Xenopus tropicalis: one gene and its partners. The protein of the gene in region 4 binds, or shares a complex with, the protein of the main gene of each other region. Links are inferred from orthologs where the notes say so. Each region holds a gene or a part of one and is shown on either strand. Other genes may lie near its edges.

Region 1 (4,842 bases), on a different chromosome or scaffold from region 4:
AGACCTCAATGCCCAGATAGAGAAAGAGCAGGAATGACTCGAGGATCAGATTAGATGTGGGGTACGGCAGGATCAGCCCTGTGGGAATGCAAAAGTCTCCCATCATTCCCTGCGCTAATCCCTTCTAGCCCCACCCACTACTTGAGTCACAGACTCCCTGCCCCTCCCCTCAGTGCGACAGAAGCCATACACCCCTGGGCAGGACCATTTGTGCCAATAACACTGAGCTTGGTCCCCCCAATGTTGCCCCCCGCGGTTCCTGCCTCCCTGGGGTACATGCACAGCCAATAGGAACTCACCTTTATAGATAAAAATGAGAGTCTCGATGATGAAGTAGGAAGCACAGTACCAGCCATTGAGGAAGAAGAGAACCTCCAGCGGCGTGGAAGAGAGCTGCTTGTGTTCAGGAAAAACTGTATAATGCGACTCATGCTACAATGTACCGAGTAATGTAATCCCACTCTGAGTATCACTCATGTATTATAGGGATACTGTACCCCCTACTGTAAATGATAAGGATATTAGCAGTCACTGAGGGGTTCTGTGCCCCCCATATAAAGGCACAAGGCTGCAGGCTGAGTTATACAGGGAACTCTGAGTATCACTCATGTATTATAAGGGATACTGTACCCCCTACTGTAAATGATAAGGATATTAGCAGTCACTGAGGGGTTCTGTGCCCCCCATATAAAGGCACAAGGCTGCAGGCTGAGTTATACAGGGAACTCTGAGTATCACTCATGTATTATAGGGATACTGTACCCCCTACTGTAAATGATAAGGATATTAGCAGTCACTGAGGGGTTCTGTGCCCCCCATATAAAGGCACAAGGCTGCAGGCTGAGTTATACAGGGAACTCTGAGTATCACTCATGTATTATAAGGGATAATGTACCCCCTACTGTAAATGATAAGGATATTAGCAGTCACTGAGGGGTTCTGTGCCCCCCATATAAAGGCACAAGGCTGCAGGCTGAGTTATACAGGGAACTCTGAGTATCACTCATGTATTATAAGGGATAATGTACCCCCTACTGTAAATGATAAGGATATTAGCAGTCACTGAGGGGTTCTGTGCCCCCCATATAAAGGCACAAGGCTGCAGGCTGAGTTATACAGGGAACTCTGAGTATCACTCATGTATTATAAGGGATAATGTACCCCCTACTGTAAATGATAAGGATATTAGCAGTCACTGAGGGGTTCTGTGCCCATATAAAGGCACAAGGCTGCAGGCTGAGTTATACAGGGAACTCTGAGTATCACTCATGTATTATAAGGGATAATGTACCCCCTACTGTAAATGATAAGGATATTAGCAGTCACTGAGGGGTTCTGTGCCCCCCATATAAAGGCACAAGGCTGCAGGCTGAGTTATACAGGGAACTCTGAGTATCACTCATGTATTATAAGGGATAATGTACCCCCTACTGTAAATGATAAGGATATTAGCAGTCACTGAGGGGTTCTGTGCCCCCCATATAAAGGCACAAGGCTGCAGGCTGAGTTATACAGGGAACTCTGAGTATCACTCATGTATTATAAGGGGTAATGTACCCCCATGAATTGTTAAAGGAATATAAGAAGCAGTGGGCGGGGCCAGGCTATACCTGTACAGGTGACTTGGTACCGTCTCACCTATGTAAGTGCCAAGGATACAACTCCGCGCCTTCTCCCTGGGAAGCAAACGCACAGTTAGGGGGCAGCACAAGTCACATGATACCAAGCAGAAGACCCAGTGGGGGCCGGGGGCCCCTCCCAGCACTCAGAGCAGCCATGTTTGGTCTCCCCCTGTAGGTGCCCATAATATACCCACATACCTGCCCGTAATATACCCACCCGCCTGCCCGTAATATATCCACCCGCCTGCCCGTAATATACCCACCCGCCTGCCCGTAATATTCCCACCCGCCTGCCCGTAATATACCCACCTGCCTGCCCGTAATATACCCACCTGCCCGTAATATACCCACCTGCCTGCCCATAATATACCCACCCGCCTGCCCGTAATATTCCCACCCGCCTGCCCGTAATATACCCACCCGCCTGCCCATAATATACCCACCCGCCTGCCCGTAATATTCCCACCCGCCTGCCCGTAATATACCCACCCGCCTGCCCATAATATACCCACATACCTGCCCGTAATATACCCACCCGCCTGCCCGTAATATACCCACCCGCCTGCCCGTAATATACCCACCCGCCTGCCCTCAATATACCCACCCGCCTGCCCGTAATATACCCACCGCTGCCCGTAATATTCCCACCCCCTGCCCGTAATATTACCCACCCGCCTGCCCGTAATATACCCACCCGCCTGCCCGTAATATACCCCAACCCGCCTGCCCGTAATATACCCACATACCTGCCCGTAATATACCCACCCGCCTGCCCGTAATATACCCACCCGCCTGCCCGTAATATACCCACCTGCCTGCCCGTAATATACCCACATACCTGCCCGTAATATACCCACCCGCCTGCCCGTAATATACCCACCCGCCTGCCCGTAATATACCCACATACCTGCCCGTAATATACCAACCCGCCTGCCCGTAATATACCCACCCGCCTGCCCGTAATATACCCACCCGCCTGCCGTAATATACCCACATACCTGCCCGTAATATACCCACCCGCCTGCCCGTAATATTCCCACCCGCCTGCCCGTAATATACCCACCCGCCTGCCCGTAATATACCCACCCGCCTGCCCGTAATATACCCACATACCTGCCCGTAATATACCCACCCGCCTGCCCGTAATATACCCACCTGCCCATAATATACCCACCTGCCCATAATATACCCACTTACCTGCCCATAATATACCCACCTGCCCATAATATACCCACCTGCCCGGGGAATGTGCGCTATTGTGGGTAACAGGGAGAAGTCGCTGCTTCTCTGGGGATGCCGGGAATTGTGGTCTAACAGCCCCCCCCCCCCCCCCCCAGTTGTAGTTGCACACTAGCGGTGCGGGTCCCTATGCAGCAGGTAAGGGGACAGCGTAGCGGCATCGGGTGCAGGGGATGCTGGGAGTTGTAGTCCCGCTGATCAGCTGCACCTCTTGCATAGGGGACACAGTAGCCCCACGCTTACAGGCGCCATTACAGGGAGCAGGGGGGCCGCTCTTCCATCCGCTGCTTCGCCTCCCGCTTACCTTTGGGCGCCATCTTGCTGCTCTAAGGACGCCTGTGACGTCACTCCCTGGAAACCTCCGCAACACGTGACCCCCTGAGCCGCCTGTGCGCCGCGGGGTCCTAGCGCCTTCCCCCCTAACATTCAGGGCCACTAAATAACTGGGACTGGCTGGGCTTCTGGGAACTGTTCAATGGAGAGTGTACCTGCAGCCAAATTAGATTGCTAGCTCCTCTGCCCAGGGAGACAGTAGGGCAAGATGGAGACAGTAGGGCAAGATGGGGACAGTAGGGCAAGATGGGGACAGTAGGGCAAGATGGGGACAGTAGGGCAAGATGGAGACAGTAGGGCAAGATGGGGACAGTAGGGCAAGATGGGGACAGTAGGGCAAGATGGGGACAGTAGGGCAAGATGGAGACAGTAGGGCAAGATGGGGACAGTAGGGCAAGATGGAGACAGTAGGGCAAGATGGAGACAGTAGGGCAAGATGGAGACAGTAGGGCAAGATGGAGACAACCCTTTATAACACTGAAGAGGTTATTCCAAACACAAGAGGCAGTATGAGCACTAATGACTGCACGGGGGGCAGTAGAGGAGCGAGGGTGGGAGAGTTGGGGGCCGATGCTGCTGTCTCTCAGTAGTGATGCGCAGTCGTTATTAATTGGGGCTGAGATGCGAGACCCTCGCTTCAAGAGCCGGATGTTCCCACCCACGGTTTCCTCGTCTCACTGCTACTCACCTAATTATGTTACTCACAGTTACTTCATTATAGAACCCATAGCCCAATAAAGGGTCAACTTCCCCTTTATATTTACTTTTAGTAACACATGGGCGGAGTTACAGGTCACTGATCCCCACCGTGATCCCCACCCTTTTCCCACCCTGTTTCCTTCTTGATCCCCACCTTGATCCCCACCCTGATCCCCACCCTTTTCCCACCCTGATCCCACCATTTTCCCACCCTGATCCCCACCCTTTTCCCACCCTGTTTCCTTCTTGATCCCCACCTTGATCCTCACCCTGATCCCACCCTTTTCCCACCCTGATCCCCACCTTGATCCCACCCTGATCCCACCCTTTTTCCACCCTGATCCCACCATTTTCCCACCCTGATCCCCACCCTTTTCCCACCCTGTTTCCTTCTTGATCCCCACCTTGATCCCCACCTTGATCCCACCCTGATCCCACCCTTTTTCCACCCTGATCCCCACCCTTTTCCCACCCTGATCCCCACCCTTTTCCCACCCTGATCCCCACCCTTTTCCCACCCTGTTTCCTTCTTGATCCCCACCTTGATCCCCACCCTGATCCCACCCTTTTCCCACCCTGATCCCCACCCTTTTCCCACCCTGTTTCCTTCTTGATCCCCACCCTGATCCCCACCCTGATCCCCACCCTTTTCCCACCCTGTTTCCTTCTTGATCCCCACCTTGATCCCCACCCTGATCCCACCCTTTTCCCACCCTGATCCCCACCCTTTTCCCACCCTGTTTCCTTCTTAATCCCCACCCTGATCCCCACCTTGATCCCACCCTTTTCCCACCTTGATCCCCACCTTGATCCCCACCCTGATCCCACCCTGATCCCCACCCTGATCCCCACCCTGATCCCCACCCTGATCCCACCCTGATCCCCACCCTGATCCCACCCTGATCCCCACCCTGATCCCCACCCTGATCCCACCTTGATCCCCACCCTG
Region 2 (4,213 bases), on a different chromosome or scaffold from region 4:
TCCTGTGGAGTGCCTATTTGCTCTTCTCTCTGCTCTAAGGTATGGCATGTCTGATATCCAAGATCAATGTATTAAACAACTAATGTGAGAGCAAAGCATGCAGACTAGACTCAATTCAGCATATTATGTCAAAAAAATATGCACTCTGCTATATGTATCCCTTGATTCCAAACAACACAGCAGCAGTAGAAATCACCAGTTAGTGTACAATACCGCATTATGTATATGCAAGGTACGGCATGAAAGGTAAAAACATCCAGGAAAGAAATTTATGTAAATTAAAATGATGTATTTTAGGATCTGGGTGAACCACGCTGTTCCCAGGATCTGAAAACCGCACACTTCACTCATGGTGAAAAATGTTCAACTTCTGTGTTTATGTGGCAAAAATTCACATGATTTTAACGATTTGGTTTGGCTGAATCCAGCTGAAAAAGGCAGAATCTTGGCCGAATCCTGGATTCGGTGCATCCCTAGTGTATAAAAGCCTGGGTAACCTTCTCCTCTGTATGGAGACACAACTTTTAACAACTAACATGGGTTATTAGAAGCTATACATGTCCCTTTCATTTATACTAAATAATTAAATTTAAAACAATAATTGTCTCACCTGGTTTCCAGAATTTGGTGTCTGCACAAAAAAAACAAAACAAAATATTTAAATGTAGTATTTTTAAACCTTCAAGAGGTAATATAAAAATTCCACCCTGAGATATAATGAAAGCATGGAGCACAACTGTGGCTCTTATAACATTAAATTAAGAAGCTAAGATTAAGACATTTTAGACTTTACCAGATAGAGACAGAGTCCTAACAAGCAGGATAGCCAGAATGCCTGCATCCAGTACTTACAGCTATAATTCTAATGGCCAGGATAGCCAGAATGCCTGCATCCAGTACTTACAGCTATAATTCTAATGGCCAGGATAGCCAGAATGCCTGCAGCCAGTACTTACAGCTATAATTCTAATGGGCAGGATAGCCAGAATGCCTGCAGCCCTTACTTACAGCTATAATTCTAATGGGCAGGATAGCCAGAATGCCTGCAGCCAGTACTTACAGCTATAATTCTAATGGGCAGGATAGCCAGAATGCCTGCAGCCAGTACTTACAGCCAGAATTCTAATGGGCAGGATAGCCAGAATGCCTGCAGCCAGTACTTACAGCTATAATTCTAATGGGCAGGATAGCCAGAATGCCTGCAGCCAGTACTTACAGCTATAATTCTAATGGGCAGGATAGCCAGAATGCCTGCAGCCAGTACTTACAGCCAGAATTCTAATGGGCAGGATAGCCAGAATGCCTGCAGCCAGTACTTACAGCTATAATTCTAATGGGCACGATAGCCAGAATGCCTGCAGCCAGTACTTACAGCTATAATTCTAATGGGCAGGATAGCCAGAATGCCTGCAGCCAGTACTTACAGCTATAATTCTAATGGGCATGATAGCCAGAATGCCTGCAGCCAGTACTTACAGCTATAATTCTAATGGGCAGGATAGCCAGAATGCCTGCAGCCAGTACTTACAGCTATAATTCTAATGGGCAGGATAGCCAGAATGCCTGCAGCCAGTACTTACAGCTATAATTCTAATGGGCAGGATAGCCAGAATGCCTGCAGCCAGTACTTACAGCTATAATTCTAATGGGCAGGATAGCCAGAATGCCTGCAGCCAGTACTTACAGCTATAATTCTAATGGGCAGGATAGCCAGAATGCCTGCAGCCAGTACTTACAGCTATAATTCTAATGGGCAGGATAGCCAGAATGCCTGCAACCAGTAGTTACAACTATAATTCTAATGGGCAGGATAGCCAGAATGCCTGCAGCCAGTACTTACAGCTATAATTCTAATGGGCAGGATAGCCAGAATGCCTGCAGCCAGTACTTACAGCTATAATTCTAATGGGCAGGATAGCCAGAATGCCTGCAGCCAGTACTTACAGCTATAATTCTAATGGGCAGGATAGCCAGAATGCCTGCAGCCAGTACTTACAGCTATAATTCTAATGGGCAGGATAGCCAGAATGCCTGCAGCCAGTACTTACAGCTATAATTCTAATGGGCAGGATAGCCAGAATGCCTGCAACCAGTAGTTACAACTATAATTCTAATGGGCAGGATAGCCAGAATGCCTGCAGCCAGTACTTACAGCTATAATTCTAATGGGCAGGATAGCCAGAATGCCTGCAGCCAGTACTTACAGCTATAATTCTAATGGGCAGGATAGCCAGAATGCCTGCAACCAGTAGTTACAACTATAATTCTAATGGGCAGGATAGCCAGAATGCCTGCACCCAGTACTTACAGCTATAATTCTAATGGGCAGGATAGCCAGAATGCCTGCAGCCAGTACTTACAGCTATAATTCTAATGGGCAGGATAGCCAGAATGCCTGCACCCAGAACTTACAGCTATAATTCTAATGGGCAGGATAACCAGAATGCCTGCACCCAGAACTTACAGCTATAATTCTAATGGGCAGGATAGCCAGAATGCCTGCAGCCAGTACTTACAGCTATAATTCTAATGGGCAGGATAGCCAGAATGCCTGCAGCCAGTACTTACAGCTATAATTCTAATGGGCAGGATAGCCAGAATGCCTGCAACCAGTAGTTACAACTATATTTCTAATGGGCAGGATAGCCAGAATGCCTGCAGCCAGCACTTACAGCTATAATTCTAATGGGCAGGATAGCCAGAATGCCTGCAGCCAGTACTTACAGCTATAATTCTAATGGGCAGGATAGCCAGAATGCCTGCAGCCAGTACTTACAGCTATAATTCTAATGGGCAGGATAGCCAGAATGCCTGCAGCCAGTACTTACAGCTATAATTCTAATGGGCAGGATAGCCAGAATGCCTGCAGCCAGTACTTACAGCTATAATTCTAATGGGCAGGATAGCCAGAATGCCTGCAGCCAGTACTTACAGCTATAATTCTAATGGGCAGGATAGCCAGAATACCTGCAACCAGTAGTTACAGCTATAATTCTAATGGGCAGGATAGCCAGAATGCCTGCAGCCAGTACTTACAGCTATAATTCTAATGGGCAGGATAGCCAGAATGCCTGCAGCCAGTACTTACAGCTATAATCCTCACATCTGTGTAAGTGGCAAGAGTCAATGCAGGCACTGAACAATTGTTTAGTGATACGTTCCAAGTACACGTAGAATCCTGGCTTACTAGGAAACCTATAAAGAAACAAACAGATAAAGGTCATGTAAATATAAGCTAGAAAATTATTGTAGTTTAGCAACTGCAATCTGAAGACCTATGTTAATGAAACCTGTCCATTCAGGACCAGAACAGATTTACTGTAGGAATACCTTGGGAAACTTTAACTGATCATTGGCAGTTGCTGATGGTTGCATGCATTTATGCCTGGTATGTATGAATGTATATAGTGCAACTTATGTACACAGTGCTGTAAGTTATACATTTAAAATCAAGCAGCTTTTTGACCAAAGTATAGATGAAATAACAGGTTATGAGGAAACAGGCTATCTAATACACTCTCCGCAGACAGTAAGGATTCTTACCCACAGGGTTACGATCTGTACATTCTTTAGTACCAAGTGGAGCAGGAAGGGATAGGTACGCACTGGCAGTTAAGAGAGGAGACCCATACTGTTAAAAAGGGACAAATATCTAAATAAACAATTACAATAAAACTATGTATACAAAATACAAAAACAGTTCAATACAGTAGCAATACATCAAATATAATATATCACTGACAGGGACTAATTCACCATCATAAACTAACCCTGCTGGCAATGGAAAGAAAACCAACATCATGGTGAGAACAATAATACAAGCCTAATGACATTGACGATGGATCAGAAAACAACCAGCATGTAGGCCACATGGTATCATGGACTTTGGTAGGGAATTCAAAAACCATCCCCTTCATAAAAATAGTGTCTCACCTGTCAGAGAGTTTTTTTGCATAGAAGTCTTTAGCCATTGCACTTGCAAAAGCCTGAACTTTTATGATTATGCACGTTATCTTAGTGGAGTAGCATGTATATACAGTGTATAAGGGCATCGTATAATATACACCCCACCTGCAGACAAACATGCTACATAATAACATAAACCAACCATCTTTCAAGACACCGAATGTTTAAAAGAGAGCTAAACCCTAAAAATCAACATCTGAGTAGCAGCAATGACCTAGGACTTCCCATCTTGGGACACTCTGTGACA
Region 3 (4,213 bases), on a different chromosome or scaffold from region 4:
ATTTGTTGAACATTTATATTCTCTTCCTTTTGTGCTGCAGCAGCAATAATATGTTGTTCTGCTTGGGAGGTCATCTCTGCCCTAAGGGTCAGAAGAGCTTTACTTAAAGCCTGTAGAAGAAACCATCGTAATTAGCACATTAGGTTGAATGGTTAACAGTAGACTGTTTATCACTTCAATTAAACATTATATTAACCGTGAAGTAAGAATTTTAATACCTAGATTAACCAAGCTAAAGATCAAAATGAAAAATAAAATTAGAATAAAATACAAATTAAACCAGCGACTACTTTCTACTTTGCTCTTTTTCTACTGTTCACTAGCAGGGGGCAAACATAAGGTATGTTTCCAATAGTAGCTTGGTGCATTTATTGCCCAATATATAGGTAAGAGGTACAGTTTTTATTCCTGACCCATTATCCACCAGATACAGAACATATGATTCTCTGCACAGGTAGAATACAAAGGATGGTTGTGCAAACAATACAGGGCAAAGAGGTGCTGGTGTATACCTACCCAATCAGAGTAACATAAGACTTTCCACAAACTACTTGAAAACAATTAATACTTCTTGTGCTCTTGAACAGTAGGCAGGTGGCAATGATTAGTGGATTTTTTTTTTTTTTTTGGCCTGTGTCAAGTAGCAGCAGGCAAAACCACAAGAACTGACCTTTGCTTTGTAATTCTCAAAAACAACAAAATGAAAGTTTATCGTGACTTTTAATTATTAAAGGACTAAATATTTATACTTTTTAACTGTTCCTCAGCGTATAAACCCCATTGAAGTGTGCTGAGTTAGAACACACTTGTGAATATTCCCGAAACAAAGGCTAAAAGCCAACTACCAAATGATTTTTAATGTGATATGTTTCTCTTTTGAAATTAAGTTCATGCATGAACTACAAAGAGCTCCCAGTTATTGGCAAGAATCTAATCCCCAGTCTCATTAATAGGAAATTAATTAAGTTAAACTTCAGCTGATTAATATAGAAATGTACCTTAGACAAGTTACAGATACTCCTGCATAATAAGTACCATGTCTGATACAACAGATAATTTGAGGGGCACGGCCAGTGGAGAGGGCCCAAACTCCAGGATAATGCCTTCTTAAGTGTTTATGTTAAGTTGCAAACTTCATGACTAGTTAACAACAGGCTGTATTTGAAGTTATCACTAATGAACCTTATAAATCAGCCCAAACACATTCTAAATTTGTTCGTATGCAGGTCTGGTGACTGGTGGCACACTTTATGACTAAATGTAAGTTGGTCTGCTCATGCTGCTCGAACAACCTCAACCTTTCTGAGAAAGCTTTTTATTAGATATTGGAACCCTGTTGGTATGATTTGTTGCAGTTTAGCCACAAGGACATAGTAAGGTTGGATGCTGATATTGTGGTCTCAGGTCTAGCTTGCAGTTGGGTTGGGGTCAGTGTTCTGTTCTGGCCAGCCATGTTCATCCACTCCCAACTAGGCAAACCCAAACTGTACCCACCTAGTTTGTGGACTGGGGTCATGGAATGCTTATTAATGCTATTGTGTGCTGTAGCCTTAATGAAGGTTTCCAACGGAACCAAGGGCTCTAGCCCCAACCATGAAAGACAGTTCCAGACCAATATTCCTCTCCAATAATGTTTACAGTACATACATCATCTATTAATCTATTATCTTATTAATAGTCTTTAAAAAAAATCCATAGATTTACAATATACCTGTTGCTGTTTTTCCTTAAGTGCTACTTGGTTTTTCAGACGTTCCACAAGATTCTTCATAGTTGATGTTGGAGCTCGGGTATTCGCCTCTTTTTGAGCCTCCAGTTCAGTGTTAAGATAATTAATTTCTTTCTCTGTTTCAGCAATACGAGCTCTTAAATCTTCAGCATCGTTCTTCAGTTTTTTAATCTCCACAATGTGCTTCTCTTCAAGCCTGTTATTTATACATAAAATAGATATATTGATAGAACAATATAACATAAGTTAAGCAACTTATCACCGATTTCAAGTAACAAATTTCAAGTAACCTTTTTCACCGGCTACGTAACCAACATGAGAAACAGGTTCAAAAACTTCATAATTATGTATAATGTTTCTCTGTCTCTAGTAGCTACATTTATTTAGTATCTGTATTTATTAACCACAGTAGCTCTGGTTATGCAAAAGCACAATTCACTAATAAAAAATCATTTTAAAGGCTTAATCTTGAAAAAAATGTAAAAAAAGGTTTTGATGGAATTCTTTAAAACTACTTGAGACCGCAGATATCTGCAGAAAAGCAGAAAAGGCTGACTGCTACAGTATTTTCTTGTAGCCTAAAAAAAAAAATTCAAGGCTCATTTTCTGTAGAACAATAAAGTCGTAAGGCCACAAGCTGTAGGTCTATTCTATGTTTAGAATCTAGTTTACACAAAATTGATCCCTTTAAATCTAGTTTGTTACACGTCAAACAAAACAAATATTAATAAAACATATATTGTATTGATAAGTGATAAAAGTAAGGTCAAACCTGCACTGACTGCTCACACCACATTTGCTGAAAGGACTGCTGTATATTTTCTAAAAAATTTACAGAATTAATACGATATAGACCTGGTTTTGCTGTTTTCAAATTCATTGACTTTTGCTATCGTGATCTGTTTCTGCTTCTCCAGCTCCGATGTTGCTTTCCTCAGCTGGTTGGACAGGGAAGCCAGTGAGTTTTCTTGTTCAGCAACTGTCTGTTCCATTTCAGCCAAACGAATTAAATTTGCACTTGATGGAATTTGGAGTGAAGGTTTTTTCATGAACTCCTACAATGTACAACAGCAGAAGGTATGAAGGTTATGGGGTCTTAATGGCCTTAAAGAGGTTGGGTCGGCTGACTTTACTGTTAATAGTTAATACTTTATACATAATACAAGTCAAAAGAATCCAATACTTCTAGAGAAAACATAGAGAGTCATAGTGATTACCACTGTTTACCACTGCAGAGAATATTAAAATAAAACATCTATCTAACCATTAACCAAAATCAAACTCTGAAAAGATTAAAATTTCAGTGAATTAACTTAGTTTTGATCTTTAAATATAAATATATATATATATATATATTAAATAATGTACCCTCTATCGTATATTATTATGTGATATTATAAGTCACAGAGGAGTGTCATGACCTTATAAAATCACAAAGCGAAGGCCGGTTAACCTCATATTTTACAACAGGGGGTACATTATTTATTATAATACACAATTTTCAGTGAGTCATGTGACGGAAATTACATCACTAAGCTCATTTATAAGCTCCAATTATAAAGATACAATTTACAGGATATTCATGACTCTTGTGTATTATATCAGGATATATGATCACTTTATTGCAACCAAATTTCATCAAGATTTAAAAGTAATAATGCATTTTACTATTTTTTTTATTTTTGATAGATATAAACTTTTATCTGTGTGTTGCAATTATAGATATATGACATCCTAATGTTAAACAGAATTGAAAATATATATAATAAGTGCCATTGCTTATATTTTACATTATAACAGAACATTTGAAAACTTTTAAATCTGAATTCTGTTAAGATAAGTACAAGACTAAAAAAAAGGAAAAATACACTGTCTCTTTTTGAAAAAAAAAACATTAAAATACTTACTTTAGCAGCTTCTTTAAAATTGTTAATGGAAGTATCTGAATAGAAATTCAGTTTATGATGCAATTCTTTAAGGTCTTCTGCATGCTTCTTTGTAACTTCTTCTTGCTCCTAATGTAAAAATTTAAAAAAAAATATTCTAATATTATATAAATAGAACATTTTATTAAACTAATATACTACCATAATACTGAGCAGGACATGATGAAGCTCTGAAAGTATGAGAGAAGTATTGCTACTGCCTTTACTGCTGGACCTCAGTATACATTTAACACTGAATGCTGAAGTAGGTGAGTCTACTCTAGTCAAGACTTGCTAAAAAGCCTAAAGCTGGACATACCCTAATAGATCTGCTTGTTTAACAATGTTGAAAAAATGAGTTAAATCATGCTGATCCAGTTGTTTGACGCAAGGACTACATAAAAAGTTATACATTTCTGTCTATTTAGATTTGTATTTATTTATTTTACAGAGGGGTGCACAGGATTTAAAGAAATGTGTTTCTCTGTAAAATCTTCATTGGACCCAAAGTCAAAACAAGTGTGGGAGTAACTCTCCGTCCTAATCCAAAGTAAGGTAC
Region 4 (4,879 bases):
ATGTCAGAATGAGCTGCACACCATAAATATTATCAGTGGGTTGCAGAGGAAGCTCCAGCTGGAAGTTCAATAAATCCATTTTACCATCTTGATTTCTGTCTTCCTCTCTTGCCTGTAAATAAACACCATAATGTAAGCAATAACAATGCCTTGCTAAGCTACTGAAACCTCTAAATAATTCTCCTGCTTAACTAAAATTACAGAACAACAAATCCTAAACTCAAATTTTGTTTTATGAGAAACATATGTATGAAACAGTGAACTCTAACTTTCATACATTGATAAATATGTTAAAAAAAAAACTTAAAGAAAAAAATTGAAATATTCTGTTTACTCAAGTATTCATTAAAGGTGATTTCTTTTTTTTTTTTCCTTTTACTGGGAAAAGGATGGTTGCAACTGTAGAATGCAGTTGGCCTTACAGAAACATGAAGCACAATCCCTCCCATATCAGATGTTCTATGTAATATGTAAGCACAACGTAATGATGCATGAGACACCACTAAGGAATGAGCCATTGTAGCTAGTTAATAATTGATTATCAAACCAACAACATAAACAAGGGCCTTTTATATATAAGGAATAGAAGCTGAAACTGTACAAAGGTGCCTATACGAATGCTATAAAAACATATGTCAGAAGTGCATTTATGCAATAATGTGACATCATTATTATGCACATCATCCATGACACTTACCATATCAGTACATAGGAACAGAAAATATTACAAAAAAGATTATCATGCATCTGGATAGTCCCACAAAGTTTTAAATCTTTCTGATATTGATTTTCCTTTCCCTAAAGCCTGAAGCATTACAGATTCACATTGGTCCTTGTGCTGCTGAGGGTCTTAGGGTGTGTGGATAAATATAGGTGCTATGCAGATGTACATAATGTTTTATATGTTAATTAAATCTAATTTTGGACCAAATGTTGTTTTTTTTTTAACTTGGACAATTAGTATTCCAAGTTAAATCAGACAGACAAATTTACTGCCAACTGTTTATGGGTATCTACTTGTCAATTTAGTGGTAATCACCTATAAAAACACCCACATTGCTGGGCTCAATACTTATTAATGCATGATGTATATACAGGTAAGGGACCTATTATCCAAAATGCTCGGGACCTGGGGTTTTCCGGATCTTTCCATAGTTTGGATCTCCATAACTTAAGTCTGCTAAAAATCCTTTAAATATTGAATAAACCCAATAGGATTGTTTTACCTCCAATAAGGCTTAATTACAGAGAAAAAGGAAATCATTTTTAAAAATTAGAATTATTTGCTTATAATGGAGTCTATGGGAGGTGACCTTTACATAATTTTGAACTTTCTGGATAAGGGGATCCCATATCTGTACTGCACAGCCAATGCAATGTATTCCACATGCATGTGCAGAAACCATTGAAGTCTGCAGCATGCAAGTGAACTGAATACCAATTAGGCATTCCTTTGGCGAGCTACTGTTTCTGGCACCAAAGCTAAAGTTAATAAATAACTGGGGTTTTTATAATCAGACCCAAAATATGACAAATTGTTTAGTGTCCAGTCATTATTTTTAGAAAGAAGGGAAACCTCGTGTTCAAGGTAGATAATTCTAAATAGAACCTGTAGCAGCAGATTTATTAATGTGTGACATTAGAGCACACTACTGACTGGGGTTTTCCCTAAATGTTTTGCTGCCAGGAGGGATGGGCAGGAAAAGAAAATCTTGGTAAGTATGAATTTATTATCTCTTTTATCAGTGACCTGTGGGACATATAGAGACATATTTCCTGAACATCATCTGGCAGCATAACATTTGGGTTTTTCCCTAAATGTTACGCTACGAAGAGGGATGGCCAGGAAAAGAAAATCTTGATAAGTATAAATTGATTTTCTCTTTTATCAATGGGTGAGTTCATTTGATAAATACGTTTCTAAAAATCCCATAGTAAATCAATCAGGGTTCATCATAACAAACGTAAATCTACTATTCATAATTGTTCTCCTTGAACAGCTACTAACAGTGCAGTAGGTGAAAAACAAACCTTTTTTATATCAGCTTGGTACTTTTAAATAGTATCAGCTTGGTACTTTTAAATAGTACACCAAAAATAATTAATACTGTAGTTGCTGCCATTTCTCTGATTCTGTTGAGAAATGTATCATTTAGTGTAGCAAATGTAAAACACCAGGTAATTTAAAAAAATTATATTTCTGGCATACTATTTAAAAACAACTAAACTGAAAAAAAATGTTTGGAAATGAACTGCCCCCTGTGATCAGAGAATAAGACTTACGGATATATGGGGCAATCTAAGTTTGTCTCCTACTAAGTTATTAAATCCCGGATATGTGCTCCAAGCCAGATAATTTCCAGTGGTGCTACTCAAAGCAATTAACAAGACATCGTATTGGAAGCGGACATTGGGCTGTTCTTCATAGGTACTTGTTTTTAACCAGAACCCTGTAAAGACATATGGTGAAATTAAAAGAAATATAAAGTACAGTGCCTGCATGGAAATGTTTCTGCAAGAAATCAAAGTCTTACCATAGCTGCGAAATGCAACCAGTAAGGGAGGGATGTAGGTGAGTAACAGGACTATAAGTAAAAACAGCGTGGCTTTGGAACAGATGCTGGATCTGTATCTAAGGAGTGCTGGGTGAGAGTAAACTTCATACAGAGCCATGGCTTGGGCTTGCTAAGAACTCACTAAAGTGAAAAATAAGCTCACAAACGTTATGCCGCTTTAAAATAAAATTTGTGTTCCCTTTACACTTCTGTAAGTTTCTGTAGTTCTCCGATGCAACAGGTATTTTCGTCTTCTCATGTCCCGTTCAGCGATAGATATAAACAAGAGCTGCCGAGCAGAAAGAACTATGGCTGATTCTGTATGTGCATTTTGGTCTTTCTATAATGCCCAGCTAAACTCTCCTGTTTCAGCGCACCCACCAGCAGCAACCAGAGACACAAACTCCCGGACAGACTCCCGCCTTCCCTTTCTAATACTAAGGCAGAACCGCACTAGAACTGAAGGAACATTCGCGCCCACCAAGGCTTCTGTCTCCATAAGCAATGTAGCTATGGCAACAGACGCCAGCGCCCGGAAGCATTTCGGAGACACCGGAAGTGACTGGTAGCTCTTTCGTGATATGGAAAAGTGTCTACGTATTGTGTGTGATAATTGTTCCTTTATTGGATATCACGATTTCCGTTTAAACTGGCAGCAAACTCAATTGTTAAACCTATATATGAGATCCAAGCAGGGAGAATGTAATAAATGACAGAATGTCTTCAGTAACTATCAGATATTTGTTTTCAAACATCTTATGAGTTAAGGCTACCTGGTGGCTGGCACTTTGAAGAGCAATCCTGCAACATGCATTTATTAGAAAATGCACCCGGTTATCAGGTGATCTGGTAATCATGTGTAAAGGTGGCCATACACATGCCGATTTTAGCTCCCTTTGACCATTCAGCAGCTTATCGGCAAGTGTAGGGGCACCAACGACGGGCTAGCCCGACCGACATTAAAGGTGGCCATACACGTGGCGATCTGATGATGTTTCGTACGACCATCGGTCGCACGAAACATCGTAAGATCCGCCACACACCATTCAGGGCTGAATCGGCAGGTAAGGAGGTAGAAACAATAGGATTTCTACCTCCTTCTGCCGATTCAGCTCTGAAAGGAGAATTTTGGTCAGGCGCCTTCTATGGCGCCCGATCAAAATTTTCAAACTGGTCCGATCGGCGAGTCGTCCAATATCAGCGGTCGACATCGGTCGACTCGCCGACATGCCATACATGCACCGATTATCGGACGAAACAAGGTTTCGTACGATAATATCAGTGCGTGTATGGCCACCTTTAGCCTGAAATCTCCCAGATATTGGTCGGGCAGGTTAAAAATTTAGTCGGAATTGATGCAGTCCCCGAACTGACTGCGCCCATTACCGTCATTCGATCTTTTCGCCCCAGAGCCAAACGACCGAATTAGCCTAAATTCGCCCGATATCGCCCACCCGTAGATGGGGTAATCGGGAAAAGATCCGCTCGCTTGGCAACCTCGCCAAGTGAATGGGTCTTAACGTGTATGGGCACCTTAAGTTGCATGTATTAAAATGCTGTAAAGAAAGCACTTGCATGTAATCCAACCATGCCAGAAAACCTTTTGTGCCTGTAACTGCAACATTCTGCAGCGATTTCTGGTGGCCCCAAGGATATTGGAATTGTGGAAACAAAAGTGATGATTTGTGGGAAAAAACATGGCAGCTGCTGAAAAAAATCTATGTTCGAATGTTGTCATATAATATATAGCCACATCCTACAACTGTGTTACAGTAAAACTTTTATGGCTAGGTAGGCCAAAGGGGTGAAAATATATATATATTTTTTTACACTTTACAGCAGGGGTCCTCAAACTTTTTAGACAGGGGGCCAGTTTGGTCTCTCAGACTGTTGGGGGGCCAGACTATAGTCCTCAAACTAGCCCCACCTTCCCCCGTGTCCTCAAACTACAGCCCACTCTTGCTGCCTGCTCCTCGCTCCCTGTTGCGGGGTCAAACTATGGTCCGCTCCTGCGTCCTCCCACTCCCTGCTCCCCCAACTCCCTGCTCTGTCCTCTCTCTCCCAGCTCCCCCGCTCCCCACTGTGTCCTCCTGGTCCCTGCTCCTCCGCTGCATCCTCACCCCTGGCAGCAGGGTAAATTACCTTGGGGGGTCCAGATCCGGGCTGCGGGCCGTAGTTTGAGGATCCCTGCTTTTTATACAAAAGACACACAAATGTAAAAAAATGTACAATTGCCTGAATGTTATTTTTTTTACTCCTTTCTACTCCAAAATTAATGTTTTTAAACATTAATATAAGTTATAGTGTTCTCGAACCACAGTTTT
Region 5 (4,805 bases), on a different chromosome or scaffold from region 4:
AGTTACCTACAGAGCCTTCTTGTGGCTTACAAATTGCAACATTATTTCCTACAGCAAAGAATACTCGCTTACCATTTCTTTTTCTTAAAATATAGTTTTATCTAAAAAACATATTTGCAGTAAAAACCATTTAGTAAGAGCAGGCACATTTTACAATTTCTCAGATAACTAACCTATGTCAAACAGGGCAATTTTCTGTGCATGGTTTATATAGCACAGCTGACAGCAGAGACATTGGAATCACATTCACATTATAACTGATTTAAGATAATCGTCAAAAGAGCCTGAAAAGTATTTAAAAACAAAAACATTCAATTTACTTTATATATAAATGTATTCTGGTAAGTGATTGATGTGAATGAGGTATTATGAAAATGAAAGGAGAGAAAGGGAGTGTGCTTTATAACAGGGCTGAAAACAAAGCAAGGATAGTAAAAAAGTGATACAATGAGGAAAATGGCTAATATCAGAAGTAACAGACAATTTGGGAAAGTGTAAGAGATGTTAGTAGAAGGGGAGGAGGATAAATGTTACCAGATTATGGTACAGAAGAGATATGAAGTATCAGGTTTATTAAGAAGGGTTGAGAAAAGGGGCTCATTAAATACTGAGCAGGATTCTGTTTGAGGTGTTCACAAGTAATTCCATAAAATGTCTTGCTGATTATTTCAGTGCATATGTCCTTGGCACCAAAAATAATCATTTGGAAAACCAGGAACAAGTTCTTAGCACTCTGCAAAATCAAGAACACTCCACCCCGTATCGTTCAAAGTTCCTGAGTATGACCGTTAATTGGAGATGTACTTGCCCCATGGCCACTGTTTGCAGACGGTAGCGATCAGACCCTCCATAAATCAGGCTGGATGACTTAAGTTGTGGGCCGCCGCCAACAAACATCTGACATATTTGCTCCTGCCATGTTCCCAGGGGTCGCCAGGTTGGGCTAAGCAATGAGTGAGTACCAGGGGTGGAAGGGATGTGGAGGAAGCTGTAACCATAAAGTTCATTACGACCAAATGTGTCCTGATGCCAGACTTGAAGGTGAAGTTTTGGCCAACCTAAGTGGGGGAAATACAAGCATTTAAAGTACATAATGTACTTTGCACCTTTGGTAGGTAAAGTGTGTTCATTTGAATGGGTAGGGTTAGGGTTGGGAGCCTGTGCAGGGGCTCCAATGTGATTACAATAATTTTAACAGATTCTTTATTTTATTCTTTATTCTATCATACTTTACCTTGTAATCCTTTAGTAGCAAAGTGCATGTCAATAGGGTGAGACCAGAATGCCATGTCATCATTTTGTGGATGATCTACTTGTGTCTGGCCTTCCACAACCCCAGAAAGTAGCTTCCAGGCTCCACCTAAATGTTATGGTAGGGAACGATGTTATTACAAATAGAAATATCATATGGTTAATAATAGATAGAGCCACACCAGTATCTTATATATCAAGATTTTCTCAAAACATTAACATTTCCTTTAAGACTCTTTTATATTGTTTATGTAAAGTAAAGCCAAAAATGGGCTTTAAGTTATACAAACACAGCCTTCTCCTTCACTTCACATTACTAGAATAAATACAGGGGTCACCTGACGCATATATTTCTTCTTCACATCACAAACTTAAAAATATATTACAGGTATAGGACCCATTATTCAGAATGCTCGGGACCAAGGGTAATTTGGATCTCCATAGCTTAAATCTACTAAAGAATCAATAAAACATTAATTAAACCCTATGGGATTGTTTTGCATCCAATAAGGATTATTTATATCTTAGTTGGGATCAATTACAAGGTATTGTTTTATTACTACAGCGAAAAAGGAAATCTGTTTTAAAATTCTGAATTATTTGATTAAAATGGAGTCTATGGGAGACGGGCATTCCATAATTCAGAACTTTCTGGATAACGGGTTTCCGTATAAGGAATCCCATACCTGTACTAGAATAAAAGTGGGGCCAACTGAATGCATATACCACATTTTCAACAGCGTACAGCTCCACAAAAAAACAAAACTGTGTTTTTTTTATGTACAATTGATATATAGATCCATTTAAAATGCAAAATGATGACTCTTACCTGTGTGTACTCCCCATTTGCAAAACAGGCTGTGTTGGGGGAAGCCACTAGCCCCAATAATTTGCCCTATGATGTGAACCTCTGCCATTACTGTAGGAGGAAAGGTAAAATATATTTCAGTTACATCATTATTGTGAAGAAACTAAATTATAATTTTTATTAGAAGTAGGTCCAACAAACAATAACAGCTAGAAATTACACTTCTTATACCATCTGACGCCAATATAAATATACAAGCCTCAGTGACCAAGTTTTCCTTTTTTTCTTGGCTGTGTGTGCAAAAACTTTCTTTTGTGCCTACTTCCTAAACCTATTTGAGCACTTTTATAAAAACTATGCGCAAGTCTAAAAAAATTCTAAATTATGCCTTTACATACAAAATTCTTTTTGCGCACCACAATTTATTACAGTAAAACTTTATTTTTCATCCCTTACTTAGGTTTTTTTATTTTGTGGTCCCTCCAAAATATAATGATTAATACATTTCAAGGATATGACATCCCCCATTATTTTCTAGTGGCCTCAATAATGTAAAAGGGCGGTTCTAATGCATGTGCCCTGACATCGTAATTTAAATATCCACAAATGCATAGCTTAGAAGGAACATTAGTATTACATATACATTTTATTTATTACCTACTTTTAGCGCAGTGTTATTACTACGTATATTATTAGTATATGTAGCTAACCCCCAGCAATAAGCCCTGTAAGACGTGGCATGTCATAACCAAACTGTTCATTACACATCCAATAAAACCAATTTGAAAGCATAATTTTATTTGTCATTACCGCATAGTGTATTACATATGTAACTAACCAGGTCAATGACCAACATCAAGCAAAAAAAACCTACTTATACCTGCACAAGTTGGGCTGTAATGTAATTCATGAGTGTGGCTATTCATGTACAGTGAATTTCATAACTACATAGAACACTGACAGTGAAGGCACTATAGAATCAACAAATAGAATCCCTAAACTGAGGGCCCTACAGCTTACACTTACAGAATCAGCCAAGAGCCTCTGTTTGTCAACTATCAGCTGCTGGAAAACGTAATACCCCCATTACACTCCCTACACTGGCGCCATTGTGTGTGCTATGAGCATATAAATTACTGACGATACATATTTGGATGATGGTGCAAAATCATCAGGACTCCATACCGACAACCTGCGAATCATATCTACCTTTGCGTATATAACACCGCAGTAGGGTAAGATGTAAGCGCTTTACCAGTTTATTAGCTCTAAATATTTTTCGCCCTCTTTTACATCCCGCTATAAATGCTTCCCCTAACCGCACAACTGCAACATAAATCTCACCGGACCCCCTCTGAAAACCGGCTCCTTGTCTTAGCTTTTTGCCCCTTCTAATTCTCACTTTGGTAGACTCCGCCTGTTGCTGTGCAACCGTTGCATACAGCAGATCTGATTGGTTCACCGGCGGAAGTGACGTCTGTTGTAGGCGAAATGTGTAAACTGATCGAGACTGATAGTCTGTGGGAGACGAAGTATTGGGATTAAACGATAGCTATTAATACTGCAATCTGTGATTTATAATACAACATAGTGTAATGGAACGTTGCTTAAACAGATATAGGGCGTCGTGTCGTGTCGGGTTCTGAGGCATTACGTATACAAGAGACATATTAGCGTCCATTTAAAGTTCAGCAAGTTAGTGGCTGAGGGGGGTGTAATGAGAATTAGCATGGCCATGCTGAAAATGCGTTTGTCTGCTCCCACTTTGTAGTCACACCCCCAAATGTAAAGCCTTTAAACCAAAAAGAACCCAGCTTTTAAAATGCTGGAAACTTTGAATGGCAGCGTCAGACGAAACGCATTCACTTTTATGACAGACATAGTGGCCAAAATATTTAATTACATTTTAAAAGAAGTAGGGAGATACTTGGATACATGAACGCAGAAGAATTTATTTAGGATATCCCTATCTGAAAAGGTGTCGTTGATCCAATTCATGCAAGAAATACATTAGTATTTTTGTTATAAAAGATTGCTAAAGCTGCTTTACTGCAAGACAAGCTGGTAATGAGCCAATTTTTGCGGAACATATGCTGTTATTTTAGTGTCTTTAAAAGATCCTGTCTGTTGCTTCACAAGATAACTGTTTGCCCCATTTTACCCCTTTCTCATTGAGTGATTTATTCTGCATGCTCAGTATGCATTTCTTATCAGATCTCTCCATTTGTCTCTGCCCATTTCCTTGTAAAAGAGCATTCTTTTGAGAGAGTGCACTGTTACTGACAGGTACAGATAGAGACCAAAAGAAAGATAGGGTACTTGAATACATTGCAGTTCACAATACTATTAGTTTGTGCCAGCATGGTTTTATGCGTAACAGATCTTGCCAGACTAATTTAGTCGCCTTTTATGAGGAGGTGAGTGGGAACCTCGATGCTGGAATGGCAGTTGATGTCATCTACTTGGACTTTGCTAAAGCGTTTGATACAGTACCTCACAGAAGGTTAATGATCAAATTAAGGAATATTGGCCTAGAACATAATATTTGTAATTGGATAGAGAACTGGCTGAAGGATAGAGTACAAAGAGTGGTTGTAAATGGAACATTTTCTAATTGGACCAGTGTGGTTAGTGGAGTACCGCAGGGGTCAGTCCTTGGGCCTTTGCTTTTTAACTTGTTTATTAATGACCTGGAGGTGGGCATAGACAGTACTGTTTCTATTTTTTGCTGATGACACAAAATTGT
Region 6 (4,213 bases), on a different chromosome or scaffold from region 4:
ATAGCAAACAGCCCGAGGGTCACCGACAGAGCCACGATTAACCTGTAAAAGGAAGGGAGAATGTTACTGTGCTCTGATAAACTTCAGTCACACTTTACTGCTGCGCTGCAAGTTGGAGTGATATCCCCCCCCCTCACCCCCAGCAGCCGATCAGCAGAACAATGGGAAGGGAGCAAGATAGCAGCTCCCAGTAGGTATCAGAATAGCACTCAATAGTAAGAAATCCAAGTCCGGCTTGGGACTCCTCCAGTTACATGGGAGAAGGAGAAACAATAGGTCAGCTGAAAGCAGTTCTAATGTGTAGCGCTGGCTGAAAGCTCAGACTCAGGCACACTTTACTGCTGCGCTGCAAGTTGGAGTGATATCCCCCCCTCACCCCCAGCAGCCGATCAGCAGAACAATGGGAAGGGAGCAAGATAGCAGCTCCCAGTAGGTATCAGAATAGCACTCAATAGTAAGAAATCCAAGTCCGGCTTGGGACTCCTCCAGTTACATGGGAGTAGGAGAAACAATAGGTTAGCTGAAAGCAGTTCTAATGTGTAGCGCTGGCTGAAAGCTCAGACTCAGGCACACTTTACTGCTGCGCTGCAAGTTGGAGTGATATCCCCCCCCATAAAAATCATGACAGTAAGGCGACTTTCCATGTAGGGCAGGCTGGGACTTACTCTGTATCCCGGGATGAATACTGTTGCGGTGTGAAGTCGATGGGTAAGCAGGCAAGGACATTATTATCCTAATAAGACAAAATTGAGATATTATCAGTTTCCATGCTAGCAGGGACAGATTGGTGATGAGTGGGGCCTGGCAGCAGCATTCCAGTCTCTCATTCAAACCACTGCCTGGTTCCTAGGGTAATCTGTACCCTAGCAACAGATACATGCTGAAAGTCTGCTGAACAAAAACCTAAACCATTCAAAAACCACAGGAAATAAAAAAAAAGTGAAGACCAATTGCAAATTGTCTCAGAATATCAGGCTCCATGTCATATTTAAAGTTAGTTTTAAGGTGAACTACCCCTTTAAAGGGCACTGAGGTGTTCATTACATTGGCCAAACCCCAGCTTGGGTGCTGCTTACCCTTGACCAGAAGATGATGATGACGATGACCAGATGAGCCGTGAGTGTGAGGAAGCGAGAGGGCACCAGGCTGCTGATGGCGGACATGATAAAACCTGCAGAAGGGAAAATAAAAGAGAAAAAATGGGAAGGGGCCCACCGGTACGTGAGGGAAGGGGCCCACCGGTACGTGAGGGAAGGGGCCCACCGGTACGTGAGGGAAGGGGCCCACCGGTACGTGAGGGAAGGAGCCCACCGGTACGTGAGGGAAGGGGCCCACAGGTACGTGAGGGAAGGAGCCCACCGGTACGTGAGGGAAGGGGCCCACCGGTACGTGAGGGAAGGGGCCCACCGGTACGTGAGGGAAGGAGCCCACCGGTACGTGAGGGAAGGGGCCCACCGGTACGTGAGGGAAGGGGCCCACCGGTAAGTGAGGGAAGGAGCCCACCGGTACGTGAGGGAAGGGGCCCACCGGTACGTGAGGGAAGGGGCCCACCGGTACGTGGCTTCCCTGACTCCTATTACAGTATATACAGGCCGGCAACCCTCTCATATAATATATACAGGCTTCCCTGACTCCTATTACTGTATATACAGGTGGGTAACCCTCTCATATAATATATACAGGCTTCCCTGACTCCTATTACTGTATATACAGGCCGGCAACCCTCTCATATAATATATACAGGCTTCCCTGACTCCTATTACTGTATATACAGGCCGGTAACCCTCTCATGTAATATATACAGGCTTCCCTGACTCCTATTGCTGTATATACAGGCCAGGGACCCTCTCATATAATATATACAGGCTTCCCTGACCCCTATTACTGTATATACAGGCCGGCAACCCTCTCATATAATATATACAGGCTTCCCTGACTCCTATTACTGTATATACAGGCCAGGGACCCTCTCATATAATATATACAGGCTTCCCTGACTCCTATTACTGTATATACAGGCCGGTAACCCTCTCATATAATATATCCAGGCTTCCCTGACTCCTATTACTGTATATACAGGCCGGCAACCCTCTCATATAATATATACAGGCTTCCCTGACTCCTATTACTGTATATACAGGCCGGTAACCCTCTCATATAATATATACAGGCTTCCCTGACTCCTATTACTGTATATACAGGCCGGTAACCCTCTCATATAATATATCCAGGCTTCCCTGACTCCTATTACTGTATATACATGCCGGCAACCCTCTCATATAATATATACAGGCTTCCCTGACTCCTATTACTGTATATACAGGCCGGCAACCCTCTCATATAATATATCCAGGCTTCCCTGACTCCTATTACAGTATATACAGGCCGGCAACCCTCTCATATAATATATACAGGCTTCCCTGACTCCTATTACTGTATATACAGGCGGGTAACCCTCTCATATAATATATACAGGCTTCCCTGACTCCTATTACTGTATATACAGGCCGGCAACCCTCTCATATAATATATACAGGCTTCCCTGACTCCTATTACTGTATATACAGGCCGGTAACCCTCTCATATAATATATACAGGCTTCCCTGACTCCTATTACTGTATATACATGCCGGCAACCCTCTCATATAATATATACAGGCTTCCCTGACCCCTATTACTGTATATACAGGCCGGCAACCCTCTCATATAATATATACAGGCTTCCCTGACTCCTATTACTGTATATACAGGCCAGGGACCCTCTCATATAATATATACAGGCTTCCCTGACTCCTATTACTGTATATACAGGCCAGTAACCCTCTCATATAATATATCCAGGCTTCCCTGACTCCTATTACTGTATATACAGGCCGGCAACCCTCTCATATAATATATACAGGCTTCCCTGACTCCTATTACTGTATATACAGGCCGGTAACCCTCTCATATAATATATACAGGCTTCCCTGACTCCTATTACTGTATATACAGGCCGGCAACCCTCTCATATAATATATACAGGCTTCCCTGACTCCTATTACTGTATATACAGGCCGGTAACCCTCTCATATAATATATACAGGCTTCCCTGACTCCTATTACTGTATATACAGGCCGGTAACCCTCTCATATAATATATACAGGCTTCCCTGACTCCTATTACTGTATATACAGGCCGGTAACCCTCTCATATAATATATCCAGGCTTCCCTGACTCCTATTACTGTATATACAGGCCGGTAACCCTCTCATATAATATATCCAGGCTTCCCTGACTCCTATTACTGTATATACAGGCCGGTAACCCTCTCATATAATATATCCAGGCTTCCCTGACTCCTATTACTGTATATACAGGCCAGTAACCCTCTCATATAATATATCCAGGCTTCCCTGACTCCTATTACTGTATATACAGGCCGGCAACCCTCTCATATAATATATCCAGGCTTCCCTGACTCCTATTACTGTATATACAGGCCGGTAACCCTCTCATATAATATATCCAGGCTTCCCTAACTCCTATTACTGTATATACAGGCCAGGGACCCTCTCATATAATATATCCAGGCTTCCCTGACTCCTATTACTGTATATACAGGCCAGGGACCTTCTCATATAATATATCCAGGCTTCCCTGACTCCTATTACTGTATATACAGGCCGGCAACCCTCTCATATAATATATACAGGCTTCCCTGACTCCTATTACTGTATATACAGGCCGGCAACCCTCTCATATAATATATCCAGGCTTCCCTGACTCCTATTACTGTATATACAGGCCAGGGACCCTCTCATATAATATATCCAGGCTTCCCTGACTCCTATTACTGTATATACAGGCCGGTAACCCTCTCATATAATATATCCAGGCTTCCCTGACTCCTATTACTGTATATACAGGCCAGGGACCCTCTCATATAATATATACAGGCTTCCCTGACTCCTATTACTGTATATACAGGCCAGGGACCCTCTCATATAATATATAGTTACATAGTTACATAGTTACATAGGGTTGAAAAAAGACCTGTGTCCATCAAGTTCAACCCATCCAAGTAAACCCAGCACACCTAACCCACACCTACCAATCTATACTCACATACATAAACTATAAATACAACCACTAGTACTAACTGTAGATATTAGTATCACAATAGCCTTGGATATTCTGATTGATCAAGAACTCATCCAGGCCCCTCTTAAA
Region 7 (4,213 bases), on a different chromosome or scaffold from region 4:
ATTAAAACAGAACTCTCCCTAGTACATATAATGTTAAAGAAAAATTAAAGAAAATAATTATATGAAAGCCCTGGATGACGTTTGATCTCATTGCTACAATATTTCTAAGTTTTCCCAGGGCTGGCACGTGTGCAATATAGTAAAGTCTGATATCTCACTATGCTGTGTCGGTCCCGGCCTGCTACAAGGGTCCCTGGAAAAATGAAGAAACACGGTGGTACAGTGCGGAGATGAATAATACACTGGGCTAGTGTGTTTTGTTTTTCCTTGTCCTTTAAAATCCCATACTAAATTAGAAACTATATTAGAGAATACTAGTGCTGTACAAATAAGTGGCCTGTTACATTGATTATATGCATATAATAATGTATTAGGAATGTATTAGGAGGCAGACTTATAATTCTAACCCCTCCAAATAAAAGTCTGGTTTATAACTGCCCAAGTCAGAACACAATCATATTGACATAATTCCACCAGGGTGCCACCAGGATTGGGATCATCTGATGACCCCCCCTCCTGTCCACTATGCTTCCACAAGCAGATTTTAAAGCACAACTATCTCCAACGGCTTTGGTATGGCTACAGAACCTTTTTCATGGATTTAAAAGGAACACCTAAATGATTATGTAATTGCTTCATAAAAACTAAGTGTTGTAATGCAGAGTAAAGTACTTACTTTGAACAAAATGAGCCAATAAAACCCTGTGCCAACTGTCACGAGAAAAAACACATCTGCCAAGGCCCCAGCATAGAATATTAAAAAGTGAATCACGGTCTGGAATTAAAATGAATCCGCATGAATAATACTTCATCATTATTATCATTTTTATACAGCGCCCTGTACACTCATTTGTAACAAGGGGTCTTATAATAATTTAAGAAACAAGGATTACAGAATTAAAAATAGGATCAGAGGGCCTACTCGCAAGAGATTACAGTACGATAAAATTATAATTAAAATCAGGGGAACATTTTTGAATACTGAATACTGTTCTTTCTTGAGCAATGCACCTAAACAAGGTTGACCAGACCACTTGAATATTCAGGGACATGTCTAAAAAATCCAGCTAGCTAGGCTGAACTGCAGTTTATTGCAACATGTATTTATTAAAAGCGTCCCTAAATTTTCAAGTGATCCGGTCACGCTAACCTAAACACTACTAACATATGGGCCTAAGGTAGTTTTGTAGGGCTGTTATATTTAGGATACCCCGGTAGTGTAAGAAGACTCTAGTCCTTCAAGACCTCCCTCCAAACTGAGATATAGTAATTGGATTACCCCTACCAACAAGACCACCCCTGATGTGTGCACCAATCAGATAATTTAAATAGAATTCTGGGTAAGTGGATAAAGATCCATATTTAATGTACATAAGGATAGATATGAGGAATAAGGTCTCATACAGGGTGATACATGCTTTCCACAAAGCACACCAATAACACCAGATGATGACTGAAGGTTACCCAGACCCTGCATATGGGAGGAAGATGATTTATTAACTCAGCAAAAGAAAATGTATCACTCACCTGCATGTCAATAAATGAGCTCCCAATTCTTCTCTTCCAAGCTGCAGTTTTCAGAAGAGACCAAAGTACAGCCAGGCCTCCTAGCACCCCTATCGCCACCTAACATACCAAGAGAGGGGTTAATCAACACCACGATGATACATAGAACAATAGGTAATATAAACAAGGAAGACTTACATCAGTTTTTTTCAACGAGTCCAACTGTCTCATTTCATAATTTACTGAAAAGGAAACCTATAACCGGAAACAATAAAGAACATCATGAAAAGTAGCACTATGATACAAGAGATAACCACACCATTGATTTCCAAGAAAAAAATCCTTTGGTAGGTTCATTTAAGCAGAGTTTATCTATGTAGACATCATCTTTCTAGTTATAAAACTTCATCACCTTAACTAAGTACTAATAATAAATCAGGTGCAGGACTGTAAGCTGACATATTCTAGTAGGAAGTGGGAAGGGGGGGGGAGATCTAACTTTAATATACTGTATGGGGTTGGCCTGTGCATGGCTACCTTAAGGCTGTTTTGTTGGAGAAAGGATGTCGCCCATATGGCACTGGGTTACACAAGATTGAAAGCAGTCAGTGGTGCTGTTGCTTTAAAGGCAAAGTGGTGGCAGAGTCACTTCCAATTTTCATAACCAGGCCCCCTATATGGCCATAAACTGCGAACTCAGTCTTGTGTATGGCCACGTTTACACACATTATTTCAGTTGCTATATAAGCCAGAACAGCAGGAGAGCTTGTTCATTAGAAGAGGTTCATTGGGAAGAAGACTGACAACTCAGCTTATAAGGGAATTGCCAAAAAGGAAAGGAATAGTGGGAAAAGGAATTGATCAAAACATCTACTTGTTAGCAGCCTTGTGTGCTTTTGATCTCTACCTGATGCACAATCTTACCTTGACAATTTGGGACTCTGGATTTTGCAGCTGTACATCTGTGTATTGCACAGTCATGAGAGGTGGGTAAATTATTCCCTTGTAAGTGTCTGGTACAAGTCTAATGCTGTAAAAAATGAACATATAGTCAGTGTTTTGCTCCCAAATAGAGTGCAAAGAGTTGCATCTGACAGCAAACCTTATGCTCCTAGGTACATCTTTCGCCTGCTATTTAAAACAGAGGTGCACAAGGGTCGTCCATGGGCATCCACACCCCCTACTTGCACCTGCTCGGCCTGGCACAAGGCATTTTGCCCAAGTGCTTCATTTATGAAGCTCTATGACGTTCAATAAGTGCTCAAGCACTAGTGCTGTACCAGTAGTAAATTACCTTTAGAGTGCTTGATTCAATAATGTACTTCCAACACTGGTGTCCTGATCTTGATTCTGAACTAAGCACTATCCAAAAGAGTCTGAATGTTAGTAGGCTAATTAATTGGCTCTGCAATAAGTAAGCAGTCTCTGTAAAGCCCTGCATAAACTTGTAAGCATTCTACAAATAAAGCATAATAACAATAATTCAAATAAATTAACCATGATACTAATACTTTTTTTTATACTCTCTCTTGTACTATCTTCAAGCTTATAAAAATGTAATGCGCAATAACATGACAAACTTGTGCTAAAATTTGTGCTATTGTGCTAAAATTTACACTCTACCTGATTGTGATTTTGCTAGCCACTCTAATGAGCCTTGGAGGATCGGCCAGAGAATTTTCTCGCCCACTAATAGTATCCACCAGGAAGATTCGGCGAGTCAAGAGCCAGTTGTTGATGTTGTCTCCTGTAACAAGACAAATTATGTTTAGTGAAGGGGAAGTAAAATTCTACGCCAATAGTGCCCCAACCTGAAGCCCTAGCTGAACTAAAAGTTCCACTACCCCCCCCAAGAGTGTCACTGTTTGGAATTCCTAGTGCTGTTTATCTGCCTACTACCGAAAGAGAAGTGGCAAAACACCAGCCTTTTGTAAAAATATGAGACACATTCAAATAAACAAAGTGCAAGGTTGACACAACAGTAATATTGGTGATAAAAATGTTTGCCAAGGGTTGTCAAATCAACACTATAACTGGCTGTAAGCTAGTATAATGTGGACTGCTAGGCTATCTTTGTGTCTATAACACTGGTGCATCACAGACATCCTGCAGTACCATCAGGACTGCATTGGCTTTAAGCAACACCATCCCATGGGACAGTAAGCCGCTAATTTTGGATCAAAAAATTATACCTTGTTAAATTACATATTATGTAATTTTGATACTGGTTAAAAAATACAACACATATTTTAAAATGTGCAGTTTAAACAGTGTAATTAGAAATAAGAAGTACACCATAAAAATCATGACAAAATCCCTTTAAAGGGATCCCATCTAATTGAACTGGTTTATGTATAATCACATACATCAATCATATAAATGTCCATAGAATGTACCTTGGTTAACAAACATTTCATGGTACTGGAGGTTCAGGTTCAGGACTGGCACAGGAAGGAGATTCTGCTGCTTCTCATTCCCTGGGTAGGCCAGATACACATCATAGAACACAGGCTCGGGGTGGTCACGCAGGAGCTTAGAAACACTAATTCTACACTGCAAAGGAATGATATGACCAAGTGAACACGGGTAGCAAAATATACTGTGTGTGTATGTGTAGTTATGTATCTCTTTGTGGGCACACAGGAACACACACACATAAATACACATACTGCCCAGTTGCAATGTACTGTACATGCAAGTATAAATA

The links.
Region 1: tmem231 (region 4) and tmem216 share a complex: the UniProt entries of both Homo sapiens proteins name them as parts of the tectonic-like complex. The link is inferred for Xenopus tropicalis from reciprocal best matches to the Homo sapiens genes TMEM231 and TMEM216.
Region 2: tmem231 (region 4) and tctn1 share a complex: the UniProt entries of both Homo sapiens proteins name them as parts of the tectonic-like complex. The link is inferred for Xenopus tropicalis from reciprocal best matches to the Homo sapiens genes TMEM231 and TCTN1.
Region 3: tmem231 (region 4) and cep290 share a complex: the UniProt entries of both Homo sapiens proteins name them as parts of the tectonic-like complex. The link is inferred for Xenopus tropicalis from reciprocal best matches to the Homo sapiens genes TMEM231 and CEP290.
Region 5: tmem231 (region 4) and b9d2 share a complex: the UniProt entries of both Homo sapiens proteins name them as parts of the tectonic-like complex. The link is inferred for Xenopus tropicalis from reciprocal best matches to the Homo sapiens genes TMEM231 and B9D2.
Region 6: tmem231 (region 4) and tmem107 share a complex: the UniProt entries of both Homo sapiens proteins name them as parts of the tectonic-like complex. The link is inferred for Xenopus tropicalis from reciprocal best matches to the Homo sapiens genes TMEM231 and TMEM107.
Region 7: tmem231 (region 4) and tmem67 share a complex: the UniProt entries of both Homo sapiens proteins name them as parts of the tectonic-like complex. The link is inferred for Xenopus tropicalis from reciprocal best matches to the Homo sapiens genes TMEM231 and TMEM67.

What each region holds. Positions count from the first base shown.
Region 1 is NC_030678.2:178,905,626-178,910,467, reverse strand, and holds the start of tmem216 (transmembrane protein 216), read right to left. Parts: upstream 3,255-4,842; 5' UTR 3,179-3,254; coding exon 3,166-3,178; intron 1,677-3,165; coding exon 1,660-1,676; intron 394-1,659; coding exon 300-393; intron 79-299; coding exon 1-78. UniProt on the Homo sapiens protein: Part of the tectonic-like complex which is required for tissue-specific ciliogenesis and may regulate ciliary membrane composition.
Region 2 is NC_030677.2:162,894,586-162,898,798, reverse strand, and holds part of tctn1 (tectonic-1 precursor), read right to left. Parts: intron 3,632-4,213; coding exon 3,544-3,631; intron 3,196-3,543; coding exon 3,089-3,195; intron 632-3,088; coding exon 611-631; intron 1-610. UniProt on the Homo sapiens protein: Component of the tectonic-like complex, a complex localized at the transition zone of primary cilia and acting as a barrier that prevents diffusion of transmembrane proteins between the cilia and plasma membranes.
Region 3 is NC_030679.2:54,339,595-54,343,807, forward strand, and holds part of cep290 (centrosomal protein of 290 kDa), read right to left. Parts: intron 3,745-4,213; coding exon 3,637-3,744; intron 2,785-3,636; coding exon 2,585-2,784; intron 1,926-2,584; coding exon 1,712-1,925; intron 111-1,711; coding exon 1-110. UniProt on the Homo sapiens protein: Involved in early and late steps in cilia formation. Its association with CCP110 is required for inhibition of primary cilia formation by CCP110.
Region 4 is NC_030680.2:64,239,541-64,244,419, forward strand, and holds the start of tmem231 (transmembrane protein 231), read right to left. Parts: upstream 3,133-4,879; 5' UTR 2,674-3,132; coding exon 2,535-2,673; intron 2,451-2,534; coding exon 2,284-2,450; intron 113-2,283; coding exon 1-112. UniProt on the Homo sapiens protein: Transmembrane component of the tectonic-like complex, a complex localized at the transition zone of primary cilia and acting as a barrier that prevents diffusion of transmembrane proteins between the cilia and plasma membranes.
Region 5 is NC_030684.2:79,325,400-79,330,204, forward strand, and holds the start of b9d2 (B9 domain-containing protein 2), read right to left. Parts: upstream 3,057-4,805; 5' UTR 2,986-3,056; coding exon 2,940-2,985; intron 2,171-2,939; coding exon 2,081-2,170; intron 1,361-2,080; coding exon 1,235-1,360; intron 1,059-1,234; coding exon 742-1,058; 3' UTR 1-741. UniProt on the Homo sapiens protein: Component of the tectonic-like complex, a complex localized at the transition zone of primary cilia and acting as a barrier that prevents diffusion of transmembrane proteins between the cilia and plasma membranes.
Region 6 is NC_030679.2:144,521,149-144,525,361, forward strand, and holds part of tmem107 (transmembrane protein 107), read right to left. Parts: intron 1,172-4,213; 5' UTR 1,164-1,171; coding exon 1,077-1,163; intron 734-1,076; coding exon 666-733; intron 43-665; coding exon 1-42. UniProt on the Homo sapiens protein: Plays a role in cilia formation and embryonic patterning. Requires for normal Sonic hedgehog (Shh) signaling in the neural tube and acts in combination with GLI2 and GLI3 to pattern ventral and intermediate neuronal cell types.
Region 7 is NC_030682.2:127,750,346-127,754,558, reverse strand, and holds part of tmem67 (meckelin), read right to left. Parts: intron 4,060-4,213; coding exon 3,903-4,059; intron 3,254-3,902; coding exon 3,130-3,253; intron 2,537-3,129; coding exon 2,431-2,536; intron 1,762-2,430; coding exon 1,705-1,761; intron 1,627-1,704; coding exon 1,528-1,626; intron 776-1,527; coding exon 677-775; intron 1-676. UniProt on the Homo sapiens protein: Required for ciliary structure and function. Part of the tectonic-like complex which is required for tissue-specific ciliogenesis and may regulate ciliary membrane composition.